2 linked regions of the Nothobranchius furzeri genome follow. The protein of the gene in region 2 interacts with the protein of the main gene of each other region in a pairwise test. Links are inferred from orthologs where the notes say so. Each region holds a gene or a part of one and is shown on either strand. Other genes may lie near its edges.

The links. The genes of interacting proteins can lie anywhere in the genome.
Region 1: the proteins of fibronectin type III and SPRY domain-containing protein 2 (region 2) and leng1 interact in binary tests that used the Homo sapiens proteins (3 or more experiments, as listed by UniProt). The two-hybrid records come from large-scale screens. The link is inferred for Nothobranchius furzeri from reciprocal best matches to the Homo sapiens genes FSD2 and LENG1.

The regions. Positions count from the first base shown.
Region 1 is NC_091745.1:76,663,098-76,673,736, reverse strand, and holds leng1 (leukocyte receptor cluster member 1), read left to right. Parts: upstream 1-4,426; 5' UTR 4,427-4,577; intron 4,578-4,768; 5' UTR 4,769-4,813; coding exon 4,814-4,945; intron 4,946-5,889; coding exon 5,890-6,072; intron 6,073-6,985; coding exon 6,986-7,272; intron 7,273-7,429; coding exon 7,430-7,649; 3' UTR 7,650-7,700; downstream 7,701-10,639. Other genes in the region: voltage-gated chloride channel TMC4, read left to right, coding at 824-950, 2,643-2,740, 2,836-3,019, 3,112-3,242, 3,365-3,520, 3,603-3,681, 3,775-3,867.
Region 2 is NC_091749.1:41,532,692-41,542,927, reverse strand, and holds the end of fibronectin type III and SPRY domain-containing protein 2, read right to left. Parts: intron 4,198-10,236; coding exon 3,948-4,197; 3' UTR 3,845-3,947; downstream 1-3,844. Other genes in the region: KH homology domain-containing protein 4, read left to right, coding at 70-278, 479-539, 823-880, 1,076-1,311, 1,471-1,575, 2,079-2,164, 2,264-2,412, 2,854-2,984.

The DNA.
Region 1 (10,639 bases), on a different chromosome or scaffold from region 2:
CAACAAGACTCAGGTAGGCTGTGGTGTTTAAACCAGGCTCAGGTGGTACTGAGGGGTCCAGAGTTGGACAAAAACATCCCACCATCACGTTACACCACCAGCAGCAGCCTGAACCACGAATCCAAGGCACGACGGACGCTTTTGTGTTCACACCAAATTCTGACCCGACCATCTAATGGTTGCAGCTGAAATCGAGACTAGTCAGACCAGGAAGTGGGTTTCCTGTCTCATCTTGTCTTAGTTTTTGTCTAATGTGTCCATTCTTCTCTGGCATCAACCGGATATTTTTCAAACAAACATCTGCTTTTTTCTTTTCGCTCTCTGTGAACCCTAGAGATGGTTGTGGGTAAAAATCCCATAAAGCAGCCCAGTCTCTCCGGGACAGCAACCTCACTCCTCAAGTCACTTAAATCCACTCTCTTCAGCTTCCTGATGCTCCGTTTGTACTTCAGCAAGTCATCTTCGCCGTGCTTGAATGCTGAGTTGCTTCCTTGTGATTGTTTTATATTAACAAGCCAACAAACAGCACAGCTGTACCTAATAAAGTGGCTGATGAGAACGTATCATGTATGAGGACGTCGTATTAAAAATTGGCGTACAGTCAAAAAACGAAACAAAAAGAGTTAAAGTAGAAAAAACAGGAGAAAGGATTTTCTTTGCTGTCTAAAGAATCACCTGAGTTGAAGAATGTAATGCATTTGTTCACTTTTGAATGTTTCACTGTGACTGAGTCCGATTTATTTTATTTGAGTTATTCAAGTTGTCACTTAACAATTTTTCTCAATTTTCCCCTTTGCCTGACTCACACCGTCTTAATCTCCAGGGCAGTGGTCCTGCGCCTAGTGAGCTTAGGCATCCTTCTCTTCACCCTGTGTAGTCAGATCACCTGTAGCGGGAACGCAGAAGCGTCTGCGTGTCAGCAGTGCCGATACGATCATGAAAAATACCCGGTAAATATGTCTATGCATACATTTGTAGCTAAAAGCATAGAAAAGTGGAGTCCAGAGTCTCAGGTGTAAATTATACAACAGTTTTATAGCCATTGGCGGCTCATCCATAGGGGGCTCTGCCCTCCATGACTTGGAAGGAAAAGGAAAAAATCTGGAAAAGTAAAGAAAATACTACAATATATAATCATATAGTTACTATATATGTGTCGGGATAGCCTACATGCATTTTGAATGGTTTGCTCGTCATTTTCACCAGCTGTCTCTCATTAAACAGAGAATTTTCTCCACCAGACTCACTTGTTTCCCTCCAGGGGCGCTGGGAAAAGTGCCCCTAAACTGCAGCTAAACAGCCAGTCACATTTGGTTGCTAGAGAGAACTTGAGAATTTGGGGCCAATCAGCATCAGTGAATTTAATGTCTCTGGGGCGCTGCCTGACACAGCTAGCTAGCATGGTGCTGAATCTCATTTTCACTCTCTCACTTCCTCATTCACACACATTCACTGTTGGCTTTATATAGAGCTGAAATCCTAGCTATGTCCATCCATCCATCCATCCATCCCTTATCCACTGCTCATCCGGAGTCGGGTCGCGGGGGCAGCAGCTTAAGCAGAGAGGCCCAGACTTCCCTCTCCCCAGCCACTTGGACTAGCTCCTCCGGGGGAATCCTAAGGCGTTCCCTGGCCAGTTGAGAGACATAGTCCCTCCAGCGTGTCCTGGGTCTGTCGTTTGGTTTTCTCCTGGTTGGACGTGCCTGGAAAACCTCTTCAGGGAGGTGTCCAGGAGGCCTAAAGGTTGGTTTATGCTTGACACGTCCGTGAGGTCCGCACGGCTCCGCGCGGAAAAGTTGCGTCATTTTGCGTCATTTTAACAACCAGGCCCCTCCACCGCGCCTCCGCACGAACCAGAATTTCCACAACGCGCACCTCGGAAAATTTCTAACCACGCGGACGGACGGACACGGAAAAACATGGTGGATCGGCAAGAACTAGTACGGCAGAGGTTTGTAAATACAGACATTTGTATGATTCAGCTCTCAGAGATCACCGTGATCAACATGTTAATAATTCTTGGAGAGAAATAGCTCGCACTGTCGGAAAAGACGAGGACGCTGTTAAAAAAGCTGGAATGCCATGTTGTAAACAACAGTAATTTTTACTTCTACTACGGTGTAGTGTTGGATGCATGCCGTAGAGCTCCATGCTGCCCCCTACAGTTTGGGAGAATATTGGCTCACCGCAGAGACGAGCCGCATGAACCATAAACGCTGCGAGTTGTGAAGCGCGTTCCATCCGCGAGCCGCATCACCGCGTGGAAAGTGAATGCGTCAAGCATAAACCAAGCTTTACCCTTTAGCTGTGTTTGTTTGTTCACATGTTATGTTGTGTTATTGCCACCTACTGGCCAAACTGAGGATTTTGCTTTGAGCCCTTAAATTCTCACATACATTGTTTGTTTTGGAATTGTAGTCATTTTTCAACTGTTCATTTTAAAACTTATCGTGAAGAAATACTTCACATATAGCACCTGAACGCTTCTGCAGCTTAGAGCAACAAGTAAAAGACGACGTTCTGGTGCTTGGGCCAGGTTTTCTATACTTTACCGTAAAAAGGGACTTGATTGTTGCACTACCAGGATGCATGGCATTAAAAGATGCATTATTCTTATCTTTTCCTGTCCCCCTGTGACGTAGTGCTGGGAAACCCGTGTAGGACAGGAGATGTACAAACTCATGCTGTTTGACCTGCTGGTAAACATCGCTCTGCTCGTGCTTGTCGAGTTTCCACGCAGGTACAAAACCAAGTTTCAGACATGGAAGGCGGTTTGGGATTTACAGCATATACGCCGTAGGATATGAGGTGTTTGTGTTTTCTTGTGTGTGTCAGGATTGTGGTGGACAACTGGTCCTGTAAGCTGTCTCAGCTGGTGGGCCGCCAGGAGTTCGTTGTCCCTTCCAACGTCCTCGGGCTTGTTTATGGTCAGACGGTGGTCTGGGCTGGAGCTCTGTTCTGCCCTCTGCTGCCTCTCATGAACACCATTAAATTTGTCATCCTCTTTTACTGCAAGAAGGTGAAGAATTTAACATAAAACTTGTTTTTTTCCCTCTCACATACATTATAATTATTTGTATTAGTGATGATATTGTGTTTGCGTGTCCACAGATCACACTCTTCCACAACTGTCGGCCAGCGCTGAAGACGTTTCGGTCCACCACCTCCACCTTCTTTTTCCTGGTGGTGCTTCTGTTTGGCTGGACGTTGGCCCTGGTTGTTATGATTTACAGCCTTGCTGTGTGAGTGCTGACTGCTGCAGATTTATCCTTAATATTTCCAACAAAACAGCGTTTTAGAAAGTCAGAACAGTCAGGGCATCACTAAACACTTTAAGAAGGATTCTTTCCACCTCTCCAAACAGGATCAACCCTTCGATGGCGTGTGGGCCTTTCCGCTTCTTCCCCTCCATGTGGAAGATTGTTCCAAACTCTTTCTACTGTCTCTCTAAAGTTACACAGGATTTTCTCTTCTTCATTGGCTCACAGGCATTTTCCATACCTCTTTTTGCTTTATCATGGTGAGTGTGCATTTGTGAAATATTTATTATTTATTAGATTTAATCTACAGATTATCACAGTGCCTTTTTTCCTCTCTGCCAGCGTGATTATGTGCTATTTTGTAGCATTAGCTTCCATCTATGGAAAAAGTGTTGAGATGCTCAAAGCTCAGCTTAAGTTGGTATGTTGTTCCTACTTACAAAGATCAAGGATCATTTGTATAATATCCTCAGTGGTAGCTAATATTGTCCAATGTCATGTCTTTGATTTTCAGGAGGGTCAAGATAAGCAGTTTTTGGTCAAACAGATTGAAAGACTAAAGCTGCAACATCTGATGCCAGCACTAAGAGCAGAAGTACAAGACTGAACACAACCGATGACCACGTTTAGTTTTTCTGACCTAAATAATGAAGTAACTAATATGTCTTCTGGGGGGGAGAAATCTCATTAATCCAGACTAGATCTCATTTGACAATTACTATATTCATTTACAGCGTTTCTGTTGTGAAGCTGAAACAATAAGAGAATTTGTTATTTAAAGTCAGTATAATTTTGATTGTTGTTCTAAACATTAGTGTTGAATTAATAAACATGCACAGAATTTATTTATGATTTTGAGAGGCTATTTTTCTTTTGTATAAAACAACCTCGGGTGCAGAATCACCAAAAATGCTAACAAGAAAGAGCATGCATTTCACAAAATGCTACATTCCAAAGCCAACATATACTTTACCTTTTTGTCCTTTCATAATGAGTACATTGTTTTTGACATCTTTTGGTTATAGCAAAAAATATATATATTTGGGACATACCGGTAAATATTTTTGTGGCACCTGTACAAATACCAGTAGAGTTTCAGCGCCCCCTGGTGTTACATATTGTAATTACATAACACGATTATTGTTTACTTCCTGTTTAACTCTACTACTTCCTGTGAGCGCAACAAACCAGAAGCTACTCCTCCGTTAGCTCGTCATTGATAGCATTTATTATATTTTAGGAAAGTAGTCAACTTAAATAGATAATGTGAGTGAGTAAGGTCCACGTTATTTTCTTCTGCGTCATCACAAAACATTGGCAAGTACTAGCGACCTTCCCTATTTAGCTTAATTTCCTAAAAAGAAAGAAAACAGCGACGCATATTTGATTGTTGGGCGTATTTGAAAAATTCTGCTTCTGTATTTAGACATTTTGTCGAATAACCTGCTTATTTCTACTATACACCAATATATTAACTGACCAGAGTGAGTGTTTTCTCTTGTCGTTAGCTTTCTAAGCTAGCTGACTGCTAATTGTCGGTCACCAAGGCAACCATGAACATCCTCCCGAAGAAGAGTTGGCACGTCCGCAACAAGGACAACATTGCGCGCGTGCGGAGGGATGAAGCCCAGGCAGCAGAAGAGGAGCGCGAGGCCAAGCGTCGCGTGGAGCGAGCAGAGCAAGAGGTAGTCCCCCTCTGGTGTTAGCATGGTCATTCATTAGTCTTCACTCTCTCTCTTTCTTAACATTTTTTTTGAATCACAATTGTCTATTTTTGCTCATTTTAAATATATTTTTAAACATTTTCTAAATGCTTTTTTATTTTTTTACATTTTTGTTTTTGTGAAGTGCCTCGTGATTTTTATCTTTAGAGGCACTATAGAAATTATATTTTCTTCTTCTTCTTAATAAGCGATATAAGTATCATTACTACTGTGGAAAATGTATTTGAGTGCAACACAACTGTAACGCATAGAAAAACCACAAATCAGCCGAATGTACAGGGTACCTGGCACTTTAATTGAAATATTTAAGAAATTAGTTCTGGAAAAATGATCAAAAGTAAACAAAAGAGTTTCACAGATTTTAATCCTGACCATTTAAAACTAAATAAATACAGAAATAAATGTCTTTTGGGGAGAAAGACAAAAGAACCAGTCACACGAAGGTCAGGTGGATGTTTGGAGTTTGGAAAAGTGTAGAAATGTTAAGGTTATAGATGTTAAACAATCTGAATGCCACATGTAGATTAAAACCGCAGCAATGATTTCAGTAATAAGAAAAACTGAAAACATTCTGAGCTTCGTCACGTTCTCTCTCCTCGTTGATTCTATCTAAACCGCTGCGTGCACATATGAGGCAAGAGCACTTTATCATGAGTAACTTTATTACAATAAAGAGCCACAACAATAGTACCACTGTCAAATGTCCCAGACGATACACATAATTCAAAGTTGTATAATTTAGCAAATAATCTGCTTTACACAGTGCTATTTAGGATTTAGTTGCTTTCAGCTTGTTGCAAAAGCTCAGTTAGGTCCTATGTCTTCAGCTGCATTTGCTTACAATCCAAAATAACTATTTATTATTTATATCTTTAGTTTATTCTAACAGCTTTTTGTTTCTACAGGCGCGTACAGAGTATCTGAGAAGGAAATCTCGAGCTGCTCTTCAGTCAGAAGGAGGAAGCAGAGATGATGATGATGAAAAGGAAGGTGGAGGAGGCTTGGAGCACCTCAACCTCTTCCCTTTGGAGGAGTCTTCAGAGAAGAAGGGGAACGAGGAGTATCTTAAAGAAAAGAAAGAGGAAAAGGTGACAGAAAAACCTTAATACATGTGTGGATTATTTATTTTTTGGGGTTTTATATTTGCTTCAGTAACACCTTTTCCAGGGTATCCGCGGGTCCTTAAAAAGTCTTAAATTAGCTTTTCCAAATTTAAGGCCTTAAAAATCCTTAAAAATGACAAATAATCCTTAAATACAGTTTCCAGAGGTCTTAAATTACCAAAGACCCAATAAACAAGATTCTTTTATTTCTATAAAATTTTCATGAATTTCTAGTTAGCGTTCAGCATTTTTGTGTACGATGTTGCCGTAAGCGGAACCGTACACGTTCAGTTGGTTGTGAAAGGGGGCTATTTTTAGATGAGCACGTTAGCTGGTTAAGCTAGTGGGAGCTTGCGCCATGGGGAAGGGCAAGTTTAATGGTAACTGGATGGCTAATCCCATGATCGCGGCGTGGTTAGCACCGGTTCCAGGCAATAGCTGGAAATTATAGCTTAAATGATAAATGACCCGCACTTGTATAGCGCCTGTCAGAGGAAGGACTCCAAAGCGCTTTACACCACAGTGTATCATTGATCCATTCACACACACATTCACACACTGGTGGTGATGAGCTACGATGTAGAGGCGAGGCTGCCGAGCACAGGCGCCACCGGTCCCTCCGACCACCACCAGCAGGCAAGGTGGGTTAAGAGTCTTGCCCAAGGACACAACAGCAGAATTCTCTGTCCGGAGCCAGGATCGAACCTGCAACCTTCCGATTACTGGACAACCCGCTCAACCTGTTGAGCTACCGCTGCCTTGCTTAAATAGCTTAAATTTGGTCAAAGTGGCCTTAAAAAAGGTCTTAAAAAGTCTTAAATTTGTCTCCCTTAAACCTGCAGATACCCTGTTTTCAAAAACCCCTTTGTTTAAATATAATCTGCATCTTCTCATCCAGGAGAAGCAGGAACGCGCCATCGGCCTACTGGTGTCTTTAGGACCCCAGCCAGGCTCTGAGGTGACTCCGTGGTACCTGAAGAGCAGCAAAGACAAAGAAAGTCAAGAGAAAGACAAAAAGAAGGGAATAAGTGAAGAGGAGAAAGAGAAGAAGGATCGGAGGCTGAAGAGTAGTTTGGATCCCCTGAACGAAATGAAGAAAGCTCTAGACGTGTTTGAACGAAAAGTACCTAAAAACAGGAAAAAGGAAAAAAGAGACAAAGTGGAAAAGCAGAGCAGTGGAGAAAGGTGGGATGGGATTTGCTGCTTTACATTTGTGAATCACTCCTCTAGTTCAGACTCTCAGTGGCTTTCATAAGAATATCTCCTGTTTATCTTAGATAAATGCGTCCAGGTTTTTGTCGGGTAACATCCCATCATTCATGATCTGCACTGTGTTTTCCAGCTCCATGGAAAGGTTACGCGCTGAACGTTTACAGAGGGAGGCTGAAGAAAGGAGGAAAACCCAGGCTCTTCTAGAACAGAGGAGTGGTAAAAGGAAGGAGTCAGAAAGAGAACTGAATGACAGAGAACGGCCCTACAACAGCGCCTACTTTCCTGAACTCGCTCGAAAGCGACAAAGGCGAGATCGAGAGAGCTGGAGGGATGAGATTCTTAAGTCCTGAGCTGCGATTTGGTGTTTTTTGGTCGGAGTAAAGAGGAAACATGACGGTAAACTGGAAAAAATGTGAATTTTGTTCAGAAAGCCAGTGATTTAATGCGGTGAACATCTTTACAACTTTTGCTCCCTCGTAGAGTGAAACACGTGCAGGAACATTAGCGGCGCACGAACAGCTGCAGGTTCCTCTGCTCCTGCAGCGTTTCACTCGTGTGTGCATCAGCGGGGCAGATGGTTGCCTTTACAGGGGGCTCAGGCCGTCACCCAGGCAGGGTGTCCGCGGGGTTTTAAAAAGTATTAAAAAGTGATAAATAAAAATAGTCAAATTTAAGGCCATTAAAAGTGTTAAATTTGGTCTCAGAGGTATTATATTTTCCAAATTAGGTATTATTTTTTTCAGACTATCAGATGTCGTATTCTGAACATCGACATAGAAATATATTCCGAATCAAATGTTTTGAACGATTATAAAAACAAAACAAGCCGATTATTTGCTCCTCCCACTTGCGCTGCCTTGAGTTACAAATGAAGCGCTCCTCCCAGTGTTGCCAAGTTAACTTAGCGACTTTGACGCTATTTCTAGCAGCTTTTCAGACCCCCTTCATGACTTTTTAAATCTTAAAAGTACCTAGTGAACACCTCAGAAACATCTCTGGTAACCCTTAGCTACTTTCTGGATAACTGTCGTCGACGTTTCCTGCAGGTTAGCTAAACACTCCGCCTGCGCTCCGGACCGTTCTTCAGGACATTAGGAAAGGGAATGATGCAGTGATGTGTCGGTTGCTAAAGAAACAGCTCTTGGAGCCGGCTCCCTGTTGGAGTAACCAGAGTGAGTGACGCACACACCGCACCTGCGGACTCCTGAGCCGATAAAAACGGCTAAATGTGCGCGTGCGGCGCGCTAAACACACGTGCAGCTTACCCCTGATTGCTGTGAGACCGGGCTGGGGGGTGGGGGTGCAGCTGTGGTTGGGACAATTATTACATTAACTGATGGACCTGTAAATAAATAGTTTATAAATAAGGTAGAAATAAGTTCCTCACGCTGATAAATAATAACTAATCTCTCTGAGGACACGGTGCTTGTGCACTCTCCTACAGCACCTTGAGACACGACTCAATACATGTTATGCAAAATTTTGTGAACATCAATTTGCATGTATTTGTTATAAATGCCACTGTATAATTCTTGCTGTCAGTATTTGCAAGATAATGGTATTTGGGTCTGTACTGGTTAGACTTAAATGAGTTAAACCAAGGTTTATAGCCCTTGGGTCATAAACTATGAGCTATAAGTATATTGGTCTTTTTATACTGGGAATCAGGAGTTATTTTAGTTGTTACGGCTGGAGCCTTTTTGTGTTGTGATTTCATTTTTCTGTGCATTTTATGTTGCATCTGAGGAGCCTGCCTGCAGACTATGTTGGCTCACCCTTGCTCCTCCCTGGACCAGCTGAGCTGGGTTTTCATCAGCCACAAATTGTTTAAAGGACCAGCTGGAGCTCCTCACCAAAGGGGGACAATAGTGCAGAGCTGCATTTCCTCTGGTCTGTTGTCTCCCACTTAGAACTTCGATATTGTGCTCTTACTGTTTGAACCTGTTTTGGTAAAAGTGGATTTAGATCCGTGGTGGTTAAAACCATAATAGTAATCTTTTCTGAATTAAGAGAAAGTAAATAAAACCTTTGTTAATTTTCCTTTGTGTCACGCGTCCTCCATGTTACCCCAGGCCCCCTAGACACCTGGTTGTAACATATGGGGGCTCGTCCGCGATCATTAAGTACCCTTAAACTGAGGCTGGATGCGTGATCATTTGTGTGTATCAGTGTTTTACCAGTTATGGCTACTTTTGATTTAGCGCAGTTTGTGGAGGCCCCATCCCGTGGACTGATTGGTGCCTGTCGCAAGCGGGATCTGCTGGACGTGGCGGATCACTTTGGATTTCAGGTGGACAGCTCAATGTTAAAGGTGGAGCTGCAGGAGGTGGTAATCAGTGGCCTGGAGGACTTGGGCCTGCTTACTCGGCAACAGGCTGCCTCGCCTGCGGAGGCCCGTGTACATGCTGAACCTCCCCTGGCGACCCCGCCCCCTGTCAGCCCTGCAGCACCTGATGACAGAGACAGACTGGTTACAGCTGCTGGAGACGCCGACCCGGCTGACTCTGATGAGGACATGACTCCAGCCGAATTCAGGCTGAGGATTGAGCAACTCCGTTTGGACGCTGAGGACCGAGCCCAGCGCAGACAGCTGGAGTTTGAGATGAGAAAGCTGGAACTGGAAGCTGATACAAAATTGCGGCTCCGCAAACTTGAACTTGAACACGAGGCTGTGAAGGCTGAGAAAGAGACATCTCCGGTGAGTTCCCCACCGCAAGACTCTTTTAATATCAGTAACTGCATGGCGTTGATGCCTGTTTTCAGGGAATCTGAGGTTGACTGCTACTTCTCTGCGTTTGAACGCATCGCAACGGCGCTTAATTGGCCGCGGGATGTGTGGCCTCTTCTGCTGCAGTGCAGATTCACAGGTAAAGCCTCCGAGGTTGTAGCCGCTCTCTCTGTCTCGGATAGCAATAATTATGACACCGTTAAAACTGCAGTTTTACAGGCATATGAGTTGGTGCCAGAAGCCTATCGCCAGAAACTCAGACTTTCCAGGAAAAACTCTGCACAGACACACATAGAGTTTGCTCGAGTAAAAACGGTTTTATTCGATAAATGGTGTAATTCCTCCAAGGTAAAAGACTTTTCTACTTTGCGTGAGCTCCTGCTCCTTGAGGAATTTAAACGCTGCATCCCTGATAAAGTGGTTCAGTATGTAAACGAGCAGAAGGTGACGTCATTGTCTGCTGCAGCGCAGCTCGCGGATGAGTTTGTGTTAACTCACAGGGTGAACTTTGATCCCAACAGAAGACCCTCACCTGGGCCGCCTGCTGAGGCAGACATAACGAATGTCGTTCCTGAACCTGCTCTGTGTTTTTATTGTCACAAGCCTGGTCAT
Region 2 (10,236 bases):
AATGCCAAATAGATACGTTGTACACCTACATGATTGTAGAAGTTGATCGGCTGTTTGCTTTATCTTTAGAGTTTTGTGCACACAAAGATATTTGTGGGTCTGGACCAAGCATTGCCTTCATTCAATGTAAAGGAGAAGGTTGAGGGTCAAGGAGGTTCGTATCTGAGTCATATCCAGACAGAGACGGGGGCTCGGGTCTTCCTCAGAGGAAAAGGGTCTGGTTACATTGAACAAGCATCCAAACGAGAGTCTTTTGAGCCTCTTTATGTGTACATCAGGTATGTTTATTGATGTTTCTTTAAACCAATGAAAACCTGTAACTTTTCATGTTCAGAAGTATTTTTAGAGGCATAAAAAGATGTATGTTTTGGTCATGGCCCACTTCAAGGATCTGTGCATCATATAGTAAATGTTCTTTTTGTGTGTGTGTGTGTCAAGTCTGCTTCATTTTTCAACAATAGTTCTTTGTGTGTTGCAGCCACCCAAATGCAGTTGGGCTGGAGTCAGCAAAGAAACTCACTGAGAGTCTGTTGGAAACTGTAAGTTGGTGATATTTCCACTGTAGGAGAAGTGTTATTGAGTTTATCTGAACTAGCCCTTAATCTCTTAGGAGGTAAAAGAAGGTGAAACTGCTCAAGCGTATAGTTTTCACTGATACCCACCTCCAATATTGAATGTGGTAGTGTGAACCACCAGATCTCCAGTGATAGATCTCGAGTGCTCTGCACCTACCCACAATCCCATTACTTGGAATGAATCAATGAAGCCTTTGTGGGATTTGCCTTGCTTATGAATTAGTTCTTGTTTTCTCTTGTTCTCCAGGTGAGAGCCGAGCATGCCCAAATGGTGTCGGTGTACACAGCCACAGGCTCAACACAACGTGAGTATTTTATTACATATATTAAAGAGATGGGTATGCTCAAACAAGTTGACCAAATATCAGCTGTGGAATGGCTGCATTCTTCTTTTGATTAATGCATCCCCTCTTAAAGTTTAGTTGTGGCTCCGCAGTTTGTTGAAATAGTTAGATCCGTGTGGTGTTTTACATTAATTAAAATTTTAACTGTCCTTTCAGCATATGCAGCACATGGGTATCCATCCAATAGCAGCTACTCTAGCCAGGCGTCCTGGTATACCTACCCAGCAAACGGGTATACTGGAGGATACGCAGCATATCCTGGAGCCGGTGCTTATTGGAGTAATACCGATGGTCCTCCATGTCAATCCAACACATCAACAAACACTTCATCTTCCCAAGGCATGGTTCAGTATCCAATGTGTCCAAGGAAACCACATCCCTATATTGTCCAGGTGATTACTACGGCTTAAGTGTTAGTTGCTGAATTCTAGTTTCTGTTTCACGCCAAAAACATAAAAACCTTTCAACTCCTTTAGTGAGTTGTAATGAGATTATTTTCTTGGCTGAATCAGTGTGTGTGTATATAAGTTGGTTGTGCTCTACTTATTAAGGATCCAGGCAACAGTGACACGATGGAGCCTGGGGCATCTTTAAACATCCCCCCTGACTCAGGAAGTCCCAAACAGCATTCCCAAGAAGGGGATAAGGATGAAGAGGTTAGCTGGAGCACTGATTTCTACCATTAATGTGGAACAGAGAGGCACACAGATGTTTTCCTTCAGTAACTTATTACACATCTGCTGTTTTACACCCATTTTCATTATTGCAATCATTCTTTTCACACTAAAATAACACATTGAAGATGTCCTAGTAAAGGTTAGCGTATTGGTTATGGTGCATTCTGACTGACCAACCACGCCGTTTACGGTCCAGCTTTAAAACATTTGCTTTGGTCATCAGCTGAGCTTTTGTTATACGCTCTCCCAGATTTTATGATTCTCAGGAAAAAATGTTAATATTAAAACCCCAAATGTTACTGGAAACGAGCCGGTGTCGAAAGTAGCTTTTTGTTTTAAGCAGAGCTAAAAATAAAAAAGTATTCAGACTTCATGTTCTTAGCAGTCGATAAAATATTCTAAAGCCAGGAGGTTTTATATTGTTTTTGGTACATTTTTAAAATGTCTTTTTTAAATTAAATTTAATATAAATTTCCCTGTAGCCTAAGAGCTGCTTTCCAGAGTGTCCTGCTCATCTGGAGTCAACTCTTCCTTCAACTGGAGTCATGGCGGAAACGGTAGTAGAAAGGTCTGTTGATATGTTTTAGTCTCACTTGTATCATTTTCAAATCCATTTTGGTGTAAATAAAAAATGTTTATATATATATATATATATATTTTTTTTTAGAATACTGATGCCTCCACCACCGCCTGTCTTTGTGGCCCCTGTTCCTCCTCCTCCTACTTCACCTGCTCCTGCTCCAGCTTTACGCAAAAGAGAGAGAGAAGTTGTGATAGAAGAACCGGCTAGCCTTCCCATCAGCGCCGCATCATTGGGTATGCGTTCCTTCATTTTCAAATGTTCTGAGAGTCCTGAGAACTCGGGATGTTTCTGCTGTGGAGCTGTCTATTGCATGACGTAGCGTCTCCTCCCATGGAGCAATGGGGGAGGAGTGGAGACCTGTATGAATCCCACCACTGATGGAACTCACTAATGCGCTCTTCTTGTATATGTTTTTTGTCTTTCCCTTGTTTTCTCTCTCAACATGTGTCCCCGGACGTGCCTATAATGGATGTGTGCTCTGCTGCCGTTTGATTTGATATCTTCCCTCCTGGCTCTGGATCAAACGCACTGAAAAACCACCGCTTATGTGGGGCTCCTCAATGGGTTTCCATTTGGTTTTGCTCTCTCTCTCTCTGACCCCATCCCTCTCTTCTTTCATGTCTCCCACTTCCCTGTTTTTTTTTTCTCTTGTCTTTTTTCTTGTGACCTTCCAGATGTTCCAGACGAGGTGTGTGTGAAGAAGACTAGAGTGAACCTAAATGCTTCTGGGCTTGTGCCCTATGGAGGAGATTCCTCAGATGAAGAGGAGGAGAGGACACGCAGCAGTAAGACAGAAAACTCATAACTTCTGCCAGCCCTACCCCCCCGTCCCAAGATATCCACACATCCAGCAAATCCACACAATTCTCCAACTCTTCAGAAAAGTCCACCCTTACATGACCATACGTTGTTATGGACTTTAAGCTTTTTGGGATGTGTAAGCTTATTTCTGTCATTTTCTGAACTACGAGATTTTTTAAAAATCTTAGAAAAAATACATTTTTTTTTTTTTTTTTTTCATTTCTGTGTTTCAGTTATCCTGAATCACAGAATGTTTACTGGTACAAGTAGCTTTTAACCTGTCCAGAGGGGAGCCTTAAACTGATGTTCATTTGTAGAGATATGTACATTTACCCACCAGCTCATTCAACCTCGGTGTGCATTTATTTGCAAACAACTCATTTTGCAGTCGCTTTTCATTTGACAGTGTTGCAGGTGACGTTTTTAGAAAACTCAAATCATCTTCTTTTTTTTTCTAATTTGTCTTATGTTCATCATTGTTGAAGCTTCACTTTTTCTTTGTTTTTATCTGACCCTAAATTATGCCCAAATTCTCTTTAGACTAGGAGAGAAAAAGCTTTATAAGCACATCAGCGGACACTTTAATTATGGAAGTACAGGGTGGACTTTTCCCGTTTCAACATGTGAATTCAGATGTAAATTACCAAACTTTTTTCTTTTTCTTTTTCTATTCATCTTTTGTTACTTAAAAGGCCCTTTTTAAGTCCCATCCCATCTTGCTGCAACAGATGGTTTAAATACATATAAAATCCAGTTAAATCTTTTCTTATCTTGGAAAATGGTGTATGCCTGTTCCCATGGAATACTATAATAAAACGCCTAAAACTGTCTCTACTGATTCATTTGAGTTGGGAGTTTACCAAATGTGTTTAAACATTGTTTAATAACATTCATAATGGTCAACATCAGAAACATTCGTTTAGCGCGTTTATTTTTTCCCCCGTATGTTGGGAAGAGACGCTTTCTATTAGATGAGTGTGTACTCGGGAGCTTGGATGCCGTTGTGGACCGTGAGTGCTCCTGGGCTGTCCAGGCTAAAACAAGGGTGGACATAGTTTTGAAAGTGACAGTGGAAGGTGTGCAAATGTTGCCCCAGGTTTGCATTGAAGAATGATAGCGTTCCCCCGTCGTAGTCGAGAGCCACTCCGATGCGTGCTGGGTACACGGTGATCCTCAAGTCCGGACTCTGGCCGTTGTGTAGAAACTCATATTTATGCCTTCACAGAAAGAGCCACATTACTATGAGTTTGTTAGTATAAACAGTGTTTAAACAACTCATGGTTGGTTGCCAATAGGAAAGCAGATGCAGACTTATGTGCAAGCAAGATTGTAACTGGCTGCAGATGAAACAAAATGAACAAGACTTAAAATCTGTGAAGGAAGGATTAAAAAGATGCTCACAATAGAATTACATTTGGGGTTTGTGGGACACACTGCTTCAAGTTAAGTCTTAAAAACATCCAGCTTTGCTCCCAAAAATGGTTGCTATAGAAACACTTGGAAGTAACATTTAATGCAGGATATTTCTTTCCTTTAGTGGACTTAGTCTTGCAGAGAGCAGCCTTCTCTCTTTTTTTTGTGAATGATAAATGTTCTAAAATGGGTGTCAAACTCAAATTCACACGGGGCTGAAATGAAACTGGGACGGAGTCGAGGGCCAAACTTAATATTTTTTGAAAAAGTGACGGCAAATTTGCACATTTTCTTTATCAACATATATGCAATTGTGAACCTTTTAATTTAGAAACAAACTTATTTCTGCATTAACACTGAATGTGGAATAACCAAATTACAAACGAGCAAGTCAGTTTTAAATAAAATACATCAGTGGTATTCATTACTTGTGGTATAATCAGCATTTTAAAAATCTATTCAGGATTTATGTTTTCTTGTTTATTCATTTTTCTTGTGTTTTATTCTCCTTTTTTCTCCTGTAATAAGTTTCATCGCTGCTGTGACGTCTAGCTTTCCCCACTGAGGAACAATAAAGGGATTTTCACGGGCCAACAACAAAATAAAACTCATTTTATCTTAAATGAAAATGCAACATCTCACCTGTTAACTTTCATGTTTTGGAGCAGAAAAAGAGCATAAAACCAACATATTTAAAGCTCAGTTTGCTCCGCTGGTTTACTGTGATGCTCACCTGTTCCAGCCAGATACCTGCATCATGGGGTTGATCTGAGCTGAGGAGGAGACTCCTGTTTTTTTGTTCATCTTCATCATAATAATGACAACATTAGATGACAACAGGTGCTCACATAGGTTTGTGCTGCTGAACATGGAGAGCGTCTGAGCAGCTTTACCACGTTATGTGTCGGGGAGGAAAAATAAAAACTACAGCAGTTATATCAGCTCTGGAAGTTAGTTGGTAAACTTTCTCTTTCAGTCGTGAACACATTACTGAGTGGTTAAAATCTCTGTTTCTGGGCTTCAATGTTGGCAAATAGCTGAGTAAACTCGGCTCTGAGTGAGAGGAGTGTTTACTTTATCCGTGACAGCGGAGCTGCAGACGTTGGAAAAAACACAAAGGAGGGGGCGCTTCAGCTCCGTGCTAACGCCGCAAAACATCATGGGAGTTATAGTCTTTTAGGTAAAATTGGCCAGCGGGTCAATTTTAATATATTTTTGAAATTTATCTTGCGGGCCACATAAAAATGCGCCTTGTGTCTGACACGTGTCCTAAAAGCTAAAAATACAGTCTGCCTAGTTTCTCAGATCTGCACTAACTTGTTTTTCAGAGAACCAGCGTGTTCATTTTGGATTTTAGCTGGTCAAAATCCACGTGCTTTGTTGGAAATCAGATTTCTGTCACTAGCAAAGGATTCAATCATCTCAGTGGCAAACCAAACCTACCTAAAACATTTTTATTTATCTCAAATTTGAAGGTTGGAGATGAGCAGGAAGAGTGTCTTTTCCAGAATGACTCATAACCAGAGACTGTGCACCACATTCAGTGTTTAAAGCAGAGACCGACCGATGTGTTTTTTAAGGCCAATACCGATTTTTTTTAAAGAATTTTGTTGCAGATGGTCGACTATATATATGTATATATATATATATATATATATATATATATATATATGTGTGTGTGTGTGTGTGTATATATATATATATATATATATATATATATATATATATACACACACACACACACACACACATATATATATATATATATATATATATATATATGTGTGTGTGTGTGTGTGTGTGTATATATATATATATATATATATATATACACACACACACACACACACACATACATGTTTTAGCAGCACATTGATTGTGAAGAAGTTACCACTCACTGTGCAATTTAAATTACACAAGTCAATAAATCTCTTAATATTTATTGAACTTCAAATATAAAACACTTAAATGGTGTGTTGGGGTCCTTCGGGCAGTGGCGGATTTAGCAATTTGGGGGCCCAAGGCGAACACAGACATGGGGCCCTTTACACAAAATTTTTGACAATCTTACCTTTAACTAGATTTGCAAAACTCCCCTCTTCTGACATGAGTTATTTTCCCTTTTTATTAGTCCTCCTCTTTTTTCCTGTACTTCTCTCCCTTTGAGCGCTTTCAATATTTGCTCTGCTTTCTTCTTCCTGTCAGTGCTCCTGTGCTTTAGCCTTAGTTATTTTTTTTTTCTATTTTCCATTTTGGTCTGTGTTTTCCTCCCTTTAAACATTTTCCATTGTCTTTCCTTTTCTGCTTCCTGATGTTTACATCGAAAAACGACGCCACTTTCAGAAGAGAAAATAAAAGCTTTTATGAAGCAAGCTGCTGCTTTCTCTTATTGGAGCCACTAGGATAACTCAGTTTCATGCTTAATGTTTTGACTATTGCTTTGAATTTCTTACGAGCACTCCCGCCTCTCTTCTTATTATTTGTGGTCTTATGCCACTTGGCAAACAACAATTTGGTGCATTACCGCCACCAACTGGATTGGAGTTGAATGACTACCAATCACTTCCTGTTTGTGCATCGGTGTCTTAATAACCCTCTTATGACCATAATTATAACAGGGCTCCCTGGTATTTTTTCTTAAGGCTGTAAAATTGTAATAAAAAAATTGCAAAGTGTTCTCCTTTTTTCAGAACAACCTCAGCTTTCAGTGTATGGTTTGTGTTTAGAATTTATTTCTTTTAAAGCCTTTAAAAAATCAGCTTAAAAGTGAAAAAAGCAAAAAACGGATTTGAATTTTTTACATTTATTACTGAACAGGAACTTCAAAATTACTGGGCAAACAATTTGTCGTCTTCGTCTTCCTCCGCTTATCCGGGTCCGGGTCGCGGGGGCAGCATCCCAATTAGGGAGCTCCAGGCCGTCCTCTCCCCGGCCTTGTCCACCAGCTCCTCCGGCAGGACCCCAAGGCGTTCCCGGACCAGATTGGAGATGTAACCTCTCCAACGTGTCCTGGGTCGACCCGGGGGCCTTCTGCCGGCAGGACATGCCCGAAACACCTCCCCGGGGAGGCGTCCAGGAGGCATCCTGACCAGATGCCCAAACCACCTCAACTGGCTCCTTTCGATCCGGAGGAGCAGCGGTTCTACTCCGAGTCCCTCCCGAATGTCCGAGCTCCTCACCCTATCTCTAAGGCTGAGCCCGGCCACCCTACGGAGGAAACTCATTTCGGCCGCTTGTATCCGCGATCTCGTTCTTTCGGTCATTACCCAAAGCTCATGACCATAGGTGAGGATTGGGACGTAGATCGACTGGTAAATCGAGAGCCTGGCTTTCTGGCTCAGCTCCCTCTTCCCCACGACAGATCGGCTCAGTGTCCGCATCACTGCAGACGCCGAACCAATCCGCCTGTCGATCTCCCGATCCCTCCTACCCTCACTCGTGAACAAGACCCCGAGATACTTAAACTCCTCCACTTGAGGTAGGACCTCTCCCCCGACCCGGAGGTGGCAAGCCACCCTTTTCCGGTCGAGAACCATGGTCTCAGATTTGGAGGTGCTGATCCTCATCCCAGCCGCTTCACATTCGGCCGCGAACCTACCCAGCAAGAGCTGAAGGTCAGAGCTGGATGAAGCTAGGAGGACCACATCATCCGCAAAAAGCAGAGACGAGATTCTCCTGCCACCAAACTTGACACACTCCACACCACGGCTGCGTCTAGAAATTCTGTCCATAAAAGTGATGAACAGAACCGGTGACAAAGGGCAGCCCTGGCGGAGTCCAACCCTCACTGGGAACAGGTCCGACTTACTACCGGCTATGCGGACCAAATTCACGCTCCTCTGGTAAAGGGACTGAATGGCCCTTAACAGAAAGCCACCCACCCCATACTCCTGGAGCGTCCCCCACAGGGTGCCCCTGGGGACACGGTCATAAGCCTTCTCCAAATCCACAAAGCACATGTGGATTGGTTGGGCAAACTCCCATGCCCCCTCCATCACCCTTGCAAGGGTATAGAGCTGGTCCACAGTTCCACGGCCAGGACGAAAACCACATTGCTCCTCCTCTATCTGAGATTCAACTATCGATCGGACCCTCCTCTCCAGTACCTTGGCATAGACCTTTGCAGGGAGGCTGAGGAGTGTGATCCCCCTATAGTTGGAACACACCCTCAGGTCACCCTTCTTAAAGATGGGGACCACCACCCCGGTCTGCCACTCCCTAGGAACTGCCCCCGATGACCACGCAATGTTGTAGAGACGTGTCAACCATGACAGCCCTACAACATCCATAGCCTTGAGATACCCAGGACGAACCTCATCCGGCCCCGGGGCTCCGCCGCTGTGTAGTTGTTTGACTACCTCAGCAACTTCTGCCCCCGAGATCGGACAGTCCATCCCCAGGCCTCCCAGCTCTGGTTCCTCCTCGGAATGCGCATTGGTGGGATTGAGGAGCTCCTCAAAGTATTCCTTCCACCGTCCGACTATAGCCTCAGTTGACGTCAGCAGCTCCCCATCCCCACTGTAAACAGTGTGAGCGAGTTGCTGCCTTCCTCTCCTGAGGCGCCGGACAGTTTGCCAGAACCTCTTTGGAGCCGATCGATAGTCTTTCTCCATGGCCTCACCAAACTCCTCCCACGCCCGAGATTTTGCCTCGGCAACTGCCACTGCTGCACCCCGCTTGGCTATCCGGTACCTGTCTGCTGCCTCCGGAGACCCACAGACCAGCCACGCCCTGTAGGCCTCCTTCTTCAGCCTGACGGCTCCCCGAACCTCTGGAATGGACAATTTAAACTTTGAACTGTATTGCATCTATTCTGAAAAAAGTTTGAACCTTGGTTTCTTTTTCAGCAGTTTTTAAGACCATTTAGTTTTGTAAACTTTCAGACGTTTTTATTTGATGTGGTAGACTTGAAGCAGTTTCTCTCCAGCTGCAGGCAGAGTCCTGCACACCTCACACTGCCATGGGGTGCTTCTCTTGCACACCGTGCACTGCTATACCAAAAACTTTTGTTTTAGCAAAAATAATTATTTATTGTAAAAAGATAAATAATGCTGGAATGAAGCTGAGCAAATAGTTGAGGGTTGTTCAAATAAAAAAATAAAGACTGAACAAAGGTTCATACCCTGGTTCACTGGAGACCTGTCGTTCTTCGTGGTCACTGACTTCAGATAAAAGCCTTCTTGGACACGTATTAGATCGCATAGATTTTTTTGAGGAATTTCCATAATTTCATTCCGGCTTTTTATGCTAATTAGATTCCCCGTTCCGTTATCTGCTTTCACCTCTGCGCTGTACTCCGTTTCAATCAGGCTGTACAGCAGGATTTCCCCTCGTAGCGACATTTTCCATAACTGATTGCTTCGTGCTATAGATTGTTGGAAAGCTGCTTTTATGTACTTTTAGGAACCGTTGGAATTATTTGAATCTGATCAGCCATTCAAAAGTTATAAAACGGAGCATTTTGGATAACAAACTCAGCACGTCTCTGAATCTGTGTTGTGATTCGTTGCGCTCAAGACAGGGAATCCTGGTGGCTACCGTAATATATTGTATATGCACCAAAAGCCCCATTTTTAATCTTTTCAGCACTTTTAGAATTTTAATGATATCTTGAACGGTTCAGGAATTATGGTAATGAGAATTGCGCATGTCCAATCCCGTCTGCGGCGACAGGTTGGTAATAAGAATATTGTGGCATTAACAGAGGGGTGCCGGCGGTCAGGGCTAGGGGGCCCCCCAACACAAGGGGGCCCCAGGCGGCCGCCGACCTATAACTAATGGTAACACCGCCGCTGCCTTCGGGTCCTTTCTTCAGTCTAGTAGTGGCGACAGTTGGCCACACG